2 linked regions of the Caenorhabditis elegans genome follow. The protein of the gene in region 2 interacts with the protein of the main gene of each other region in a pairwise test. Each region holds a gene or a part of one and is shown on either strand. Other genes may lie near its edges.

Region 1 (3,995 bases), 8.3 Mb from region 2:
TATATATATATATATATATGAATAAAAGCTTAGGAATTTATGAAATTTACACTTCGTTTGCAGCCATTTTCAGCTTTTAAGAAGACAGTAATGCAAAAATAAAACGAATTTTCAGAAAGTAAACGTGCCGCGCGTTTTGTCCACGTGGAGAACAACGTGGATACGCAAACACTCGAAGAACTCTGCGTACAATACACCATGTGCCCGCTTACAGTACTCCAGAAAATAAAATTTATTTTTCATTGCACACTTTTGTGCTCTGATTTCACTAATCATATGTAAATAAAACATTTATTTTACTTTTAATAATTTAAGAACATTTATATGATTCCAAGCCGAATGGACCATACGTTTCTCTGAACACTTCAGTTAATTGCGCTGTTTCTTGTAAGGACAAGAAATTTGATCATTTCTGTAATTCATGATTATTAAAATGATTCCTTCTGTCATGTGGTCGTTTTAATTTTGTGCAGTTCTGAATAATCTTGAATTGAAGAAAAAGGAAATAACTTTTTTTCAGGAATTGTAAAAGTCGTTGGAAGCAACAAAAAAAAATACGTACAATTGCTGTATATCACAGGAACGTTTAAGAAAATATAATATTAATTTAGTAGTAGGAATGAGGACGTGGATTTTAGAATTTTCATCGTAGTTTATATGCGTTGAACTATGTTGCCGGCTGCTGAACGTCCTCACGGTAGAATGTTGGCTGAAATTTGTATGTTTATTGAAAGATTAGGCAATATTCAGTATACCCGGCTCTCATTACTCGATCGTCCACTACCATTGACCTCGTCTTCACTATCCGAGGAGGAATCCTCATGGTGCAAGCGATTTCCCGTTTTTGGTTCACTTTCTTCTTGTCCTGGTGTGGCACTACTCAGACTGTCAAAGCACTGAAAAATCATGATATTTAGACGATAAAGTGTCAAACTTCACCGTACATGATCACAAACTCGGACAGGCTTCTTATGTACATTGTCAATACGGAATGTTCTCGATGAGCAGGCGCCACACACGACACGTCCACAATTTCTGCAGTGATGTCTTCTTTGAACCAGATTGAATTGAGTTTTCCCGCAGACCATACACTTCACTGCTTCACCATCGGGAACCCATACAGCTGCGTGAGCAGTCGCGGCTTGCTTATTTCCTGAAAGTAGAAAATTTTGATTGTATTTTTAATAGAAAAAAATAATTTATCTAAAAAACCGTTTTAATTTAGAGATATGGTGATTCCCAATTTTTTTGTAGAACGTATATTATTGGTCATTTAAATATGAGAATTTTTCACCTATCTTAGGCGCATGGGTCTCGCCAGGCGGACAACAAATTACTGTAACTTGTCGATCTATGGACCAATTTTGCATCACAATTTATAAATTAAATTGAACATTGCTGCCAACATTTTTTTAAATAAAAAGACCACAATGCGCCTAAGACTTATTTAAGCTTAATATTAATTAGACGAAAAATGTTGCGATTGTTGCATTAAAAATACGGTTTTCGGTCTCGAAACGACAAGATTTTTTGAAACGGAAAATGGTAAGCGCCTTTAAAGATTACGGTGGTTTCAAACTTTCTCTGCAATTTTTTGGTGGAAATTTTTTGAAAATAATTTTCGTGTATTACCTCTTTCAAGGAGATCTGTAACGCATCTCTCAATATGCAACATCCATTCTCGTTTTTCAGTTTCAGTTGCTGCATAAACTGCAAACGATTTTGCAGGTGTCTTAATAATCCATCCATGTTTCTCAATTCCATCGTCTTCCAGATCTTCTACTTGTACACCTTCCAATCTTAGAATTCTTTGCTTATTATATCGCTTTTTCGAAATCACAATGTTTCCATATACAAGAATATCATTGAACAAGAAGAATTGCCGTTGCTTCGGTTTCTTTCGGCACATTTTCACAAGAACACCTTCTCCGACAAGAACTCGTCCGAATACCGACAATTGTTCTCCCATTTTTCCAAAGCATTGTTCTACGTTAGCCATTCGACGGGAATTCACTTCACTATTCACTAAAATTTAATAAATTATTTTATAAAAGAAAATAAATAAAACTTACCAAGTCGATCAACCATTGTGTTTTGTGATTTAGAAACGATGGAAAGAATCCGCTGAAAACTTTGAATATTTCAAAAAATTCATAAATTTAGTTCGAGACGAAGAAGGTTGAAAATCATAACAAAAAATTATTTTGAGTGAGAACAGAATAAGAAGAGAGGGAAAAGGAATGTGATGAGTCATCATACACTTTATGTGCAAACAATCGGATGGACAAGCCAGTGGACCGCTGCCTGAACGAAAGAAAAAGAATGCAATGAATAAATTGTCACGAATGAATGATAAGAACAACTGGTGGCCTGGAAAAAAGGTTTCAATTAATTTTATTACTTTTTTGAATAAGATTTCGGATCTTAAATATAGTTATGCATGGTATGGGAGCAGATTTTGTAGGTTTTCCTTCTAATTAACAATAACAATCTCAATATATTTACCGAAAATAACTGTAACAAAATTACAAAATTTGAACATTGTTTTAAATGATTTTTTTCAATTTTGGAAAAAAAATGATTAAAAAGGCTAAACTTTTTCTGAATTCCCGCGCAAGTGATCTACACAATTTCGATATTTTTTGCTTTTTCCGGCTATATTAATTGGGGTTTCTTTTTATTTTATTTTGTTAATCTAAAGAACTTCTCTGAAACTCTAAATCTGGCCTCAAATCAATAATGTAAACTTGTTTTGCGGGAAAAAATGTATGAAAGTTTTACAAAATTATGTTTCGAATCAATAATTTAATAAAAACCTTAATAATATAACCTGAAAACGTCGAAACTTTAGGAATTCGTTTGCGCGGGAATTCAAAAAATAATTCAGCTCGTTTTTAAATAATTTTTAAAAAAATTTGCAATCATAAAAAATTCCATCACTTTCTAAAAAATAAATTCGGCAAAAAATCCCTCAAAACCTATACCATCTTTTTAATATTCACAGGTTTCTCGAAATAATCTGATTAAACATAAGCCAATTAGACCAATTTAGTTTAAATTGAGAAAACCGATATTTGCTGTGTGTCACCAATCCATCGGAAAGCGGCAAGAGTGAAAGAAACGCAGAGATAAAGATATAATTGATGACCAAAATAGAAGATTGTGGACATTCGGAACCATTTACAACAAGAGAGAGGTTGGAAAATCAAGAAAAAAGGTTTTATCATGGTAGTTTTGCGTAAAAATATGGAACAACAACAACAATTTTAAGCAACAACAATAATTCAACAAAAGGATTTTTCAAAAAGCCAATTCATTTAGCATGTCTTCTATTTCTTTTCCTGTTCTGATTATTTTTGTTCTTAGCAGTTCCAGAGTTATTCGACGACGAAATTTCATTCGTTGAAACCAAAATAACTTCTTCTTCAGGCTCCGGAACGAAGTTATTTTCGCGGATTTCTTTCAATTTGTCCATGAGATTTCTGAAGTTTCCCTTGCATCCAGTAAGTTCTTCTCTTGCTTCAAATGGTTGAATTCCGACGGCAAACGCTTCAAGTGGAGCAACAGGAGTAAGAAGAGAGCTACCAAACACTGGAGTTCCGATTAATTCAAACATCGATTCTCCTAGTTTTACATCTTTTCGAATCGGAGTCAAAAGGTGTTTTTCTTCTGTTGAAGCAGAGCCGTCGAGTATTATAATGGAATCTTCCTGGAAAAGTAACTGATATTGAATTTTTATTTTAATTTAATTTACTTCTCCCGGAGTATTGAACTTGTCAATTTTGATTTCATCACTTGTGATTACTATAACATCATCATCATCTTCATTAGCGAACTTTTTATGTTTCGGAGTTGATTTGGCTCTTCGTTTCTCCGCTTTTTCACTTTTCTTGAATATTTTCAGCAATTCATCTTGATAAACTGAGCAAAATACATCTCTTGGTGGAATCTTGAAGTCTTCACGCTATAAAAATGTAATTTCTAAAGTGACAACA
Region 2 (4,833 bases):
CTTCCCTCCACTGAAATAATTCCAGCAGTATCTTTATCCGAATTTCCCGTCTCATTCATCTCGAAAAAATCCTTAAAAAGCTCGGCGTCCAGCGTCGCCGAGGACACAATAATCCTCAGATCATTGCGAATTTGTATGATTTTTCGAAGTAACCCGAGCAAAATATCCGTGTTACATGACCGTTCGTGTGCCTCGTCAATCATGATAATGCTGGAAATTTTTTTTTTGAAAAATAATTTTTTTTTAATCGAAAAATTGAGAGATTTTTTGAAAATTTGAAGATTTTCACGTAAAAATTCGGATTTCCCATTTAATTTCACACCTAATAAGCATTTTTCCCGGCCTCAATTCCAAATTTTGAATTTCGAGGGGTACGGTAGCGCCAAAAGTACGCAAACACCGAATTTTACGACATTTTGCACAAATTGGCTGAAAAAGCTGTTCCAGGGGTGGAAATTTACGGGGAATTTGAATTTTGGCATGACAATGTATAGAAAACAATTTGAAATTTGAAAATACTGAATTTTTTGTTAAAAACTTTTTTTCAGAATTTTCCAGAAGTTTTCAAAGATTTTCAGACTGAAATTCGAATTGCTCGTCAAATTTCACCCCTAAAAACCTTTTTGGGGCTTCTAACCCTATTTTTGAATTTCGAGGGGTACGGTAGCGCCAAAAGTACGCAAACACCGAGTGTCTTGCGTACTCGGCACCCAACCTTACGACAGTTAGTCTAAATTGGCTGAAAACCGGATTCCGAGGGTAAAAAATGATGGAGAAGTCGAATTTCGTATTGAAAATCTGTAAAAATCACAAGTTTTTCGGGAAAAACGAAAATTTGGGCATAGCTTCCGCATGTCCGAGTGACAAATGTGCTCTATTGCCAAATTGTTGGCAGAAATACGGTATTTATTCACATTTTTAGCCCAATTTATGACTGAAAATGTGAATAAATACAGTATTTATGCCAAAAATCTGAATAGAAGCACAAAAGTCACAGGGGAAATATCGATTTTTTGGGGAGCAAGGGACATTTTTCCGTAATTTTTCGGGGAAAATGTGAGTTTTTATCAAATTTTTCTATGTTTTAGCAGTTTTCTGCAAGAAAATCCTGTTGAAAAATTGTTTCTAGGCGGAGGATTTTCGGATTTCTTCAAAATTTTCCGGGTAAAAATTCAAAAAATCACCTATATTTCGATAATAGTGGATCTGCAAGGATCTCCCTCAACAATAGCCCATCAGTCATAAATTTGACTTTAGTATCCTTATCCGATACATCATCAAATCTTACAGTATACCCAACGTCGTGCCCCAAAATACAGTCCTTCTCCTCGGCGACTCGGGTGGCTAACTGCAAAATTTTTCAATTTTTCACCCAATAAATTTCAGGTATTTGAATTTCCCGCCAAGCCATACCGTAACCACGGCCACCCTTCGTGGCTGAGTAATGACGATTTGGCGGCCGTCGGCCGCCCAACCGGCTTCTAGAAGGAATTGGGGTACTTGAGTGCTCTTTCCGCATCCTGTTTCGCCGACAATGATTATTGTACGATATCGTTCGCACATGTAGAGAATGTGACCGCGATTCTGAATGAAAAATTAATTTTCATTTGAAAAAAAATTTTCGAAAAAAACAATTTTTTTTTTTTTTGGAAATTTTTTTTTGAATTTTTCGCAGATGTTCAATAATTTTACACTTTTTATCTACTTTACCACTAAAAAATAGGGTTCCAGCTCAAAATTTAAATTTCGAGGGGTACGGTAGCCCCAAAAGTACGCAAACACCGAGGCTTGCGTACTTGGCACCGAACCTTACGACAGTTTCTTCAAATTGGCTGAAAACCGGGCTCCGGGGGTAAAAAGTGATGGAGAAGTCGAATTTCATACTGAAAATTAGCGAAAATCATCGGAAAAATGCTAAAAATTTGAAGTTTTCCGAAAAAATGAAAATTTGGGCATAGCTTCCGCATCTCCAAGTGACAAATGTGCTCTATTGTCAAATTGTTGGCAGAAATACGGTATTTATTCACATTTTCAGCCCAATTTAAGACTGCAAATGTGAATAAATAAAGTTTTTATGCCATCAATACGAGTAGAAGCACATGAGTCACTGAAATTTCAATTTGGGAAAAAATTTAACTTATTAAAAATTTAGCTTCAGTTAAAACTACAAAAAATTATTGAAAATTTTTTATCTTGAATTAAGAAAAATTAAATAGTAAAGAAAAAAAATTAATTCAAAAAATCGAAAAAGAAATTTTTATTTTTTGGAAGAAAATGTTTTTTTTTTTTTGAAAATTACAGTTTGTAGGTAGGTAGAGTGTATAAATTTGAGCTTTTTTGATATTATTATTGTAACATTTTGAAAAAAAAAAACAATTTCAAATTTAAACAAATCGATATTTTTTTTTCGAATTTTTCAAAAAAATATTTTCCAAAATTTTTTTTTTTTAGTTTTCAGGATTTTTCTCAATTTTTTAGCTCAAACTGTGCAAAATTTAATTTTCTCACAACTGCACAATATCTGAATTTTTTCGATTTTTATAGAAACAGTTTTTTCTCGAAAAATCTTTTTATTTTTTTTTTAAATTGTTAAATTTTTAGCTGGCACTATGTGAAAATTTTTGGTCTAAAAAGAAAACTGGGACAAATGTTTGAAAATTTCAAAAAAAATTTCCGAAAAAAATTTTTTCATAAAAAAAAAAACTTTCAAAATTTTTTTCACAAAAAATTCAAATTTCGCGGCGCCAAAGAATTTCCCGTAGAACATTTTCTTCACCTTAAAAATAGGTAATCTAATTCTCTGCTGTTGAATATTCAATGAAGCATATGGATTATTGTGCACTTTTAGTTGCTCTTCAATCGGCGGAGCTGCTCCCGCGTTTTCGGTAGATCGTTCCTCGAAAATCAGTGGTCCGGTACGTGGAGCGTCTGCAGAGTCATCCGGTCGAGCAAAACCACGACGGGCTCCGGCTCCTTTTCTGGGCTCCTGACGGTGACCGTGTCCCGGGTGATAGGACATTTATGGCTGAAAATTCAAGTTTTTTCAGTGAAAATTTTAGATTTTTCACTGAAAAAAGTGAGAAAAACTATTTAATTCATGGAAAACTAAAGAAATTCGGAAAAAAAACGCCAAAATTGAACAAAAACCCTTTCATTTTCAATGATGGCCTAGAAATCCAAATCCACGTGGCCTAGAATTCCAAAACTCGGGCACCAATAAATTCAGCTCACTGAGAGCTTTCAAATAACCCCCAACATGCCCAGGTTCCGGTGATTTTGAAATTTTTGGGTCTCGCCACGCGGGGTACTGTAGCACCGGTTTCAGCTGTGTCGAAACGCGAAAAAAACTCAAAATCGCCGGAAATAGGGCATGATGGGGTTCAAATTGAAGCTGAGAATAGCGGGAATTCGAATTTTTCAGAATTTTCAAGAAATTTATAGAAAATTTGAGTTTTTCTGGACTTTGGACTAACTTTTTCAAAAAATTTCAAAAAAGTGGTTTTTTTTTTGAAAAAAATAGTTTTAACAACCAATTCGCACAAAATACTATTTAAAACTATTTGGTAAAACTAAATTTCCGAGCAAATTTCGAAAAAAAAGGTCAAAATCTCCGATTTCTGAGTAATGGCCTAGAAACCCCAGTTCTCGTGGCCTAAAATTCCAAAACTCTGCCACCATTGAACTCAGCTCACTGAGAGCTTTCAAATGGCCCCCAACATGCCCAGGTTCCGGTGATTTTGAAATTTTTGGGTCTCGCCACGCGGGGTACTGTAGCACCGGTTTCAGCTGTGTCGAAACGACGAAAAACCTCAAAATCGCCGGAACCCGGGCATGATGGGGGTCAAATTGGAGCTGAGAATGGCGGGAAATCGAATTTCTACATGGTTTTCAATAAATTTTTGAATTGAAAAAAAAATTGTAGAAAAAGTAATAAAATTCGAATTTTACAAATTTTTCAGCTACCATATAATAAAAGGACAAGAAATTCGCAGAGGAATGACTATTATTTTCAAAAGATTTTACGAGATTGGTATAAACAAATTTTAAAAAAATAATTCTAAAAAAATGGGGAAAATTTCAAAGAAAAATAATTTAAAATTCCAATTTCAAAAATTTCAAAAAACGAACGCCGAATTCGAATTCTCCGAGTCATCAGCTTTCAAATGACCCCCAACATGCCCGGGTTTCGTCGATTTTGAAAATTTCGGGTCTCGCCACGCGGGTTACTGTAGCACCGATTTCAGCTGTGTCAAAACGGCGAAAATTCAAAATCGCCGGAACCCAGGCATGTAGTGGGTCATTTGAAAGCTGATGACGTGGAGAATACGAATCTGACATTCATTTTTGGAAAATTTCAAAATTTCACAATTTCAACAATAAAAAATGCGAGAAAATTATCGATTTTTTCACTTTTTCTTTGCCGATTGTTCCTGAATCTTCTTCTGCTCGTCGGCGATCGCATCATAAAAGCAATTATCGGGAAAAACGTGCGGATCGAAGATATTTTTCGCGAAATTCGTGCCTTTTTCGTCAATTTCGAACGCATCGATGAATGTTGTGTAGCTCATCGGATTATTGTACTGCTGATTGCCTTGAATTTGTTGATTTAGATCGGTTCCGAGGGCTTTTTGACGAAAAGCATGCTCAAATCGTGTTGCAATCGCTGGATTCACTTCGATCTCCGGTGGTGGCGGGATTTTGAGCTGCTGCTCTCTGGTGCTCTCGGCGGCTCCTTGGTGAGTTGGAGCTGAAAATTATAATTTTTGTTTGAGAAATTTCAGTTAGAAATTCAATTTTACACTATAAACCTTGAAAATTCTCCGAAAAATTCTG

What was found. The genes of interacting proteins can lie anywhere in the genome.
Region 1: the proteins of ddx-35 (region 2) and ZK632.12 interact in a two-hybrid assay, tested with the Caenorhabditis elegans proteins (one large-scale study listed by BioGRID).

The regions. Positions count from the first base shown.
Region 1 is NC_003281.10:9,828,931-9,832,925, reverse strand, and holds ZK632.12 (uncharacterized protein), read right to left. Parts: upstream 2,125-3,995; 5' UTR 2,089-2,124; coding exon 2,073-2,088; intron 2,026-2,072; coding exon 1,633-2,025; intron 1,154-1,632; coding exon 945-1,153; intron 897-944; coding exon 756-896; intron 710-755; coding exon 668-709; 3' UTR 503-667; downstream 1-502. Other genes in the region: ZK632.11 (uncharacterized protein), read right to left, coding at 3,314-3,709, 3,755-3,964.
Region 2 is NC_003281.10:1,551,423-1,556,255, forward strand, and holds the start of ddx-35 (putative ATP-dependent RNA helicase DHX35 homolog), read right to left. Parts: upstream 3,026-4,833; 5' UTR 3,020-3,025; coding exon 2,777-3,019; intron 2,099-2,776; exon of another isoform or gene 2,001-2,098; intron 1,585-2,000; coding exon 1,414-1,584; intron 1,349-1,413; coding exon 1,185-1,348; intron 211-1,184; coding exon 1-210. Other genes in the region: eelo-1 (Early ELOngation arrest), read right to left, coding at 4,407-4,747.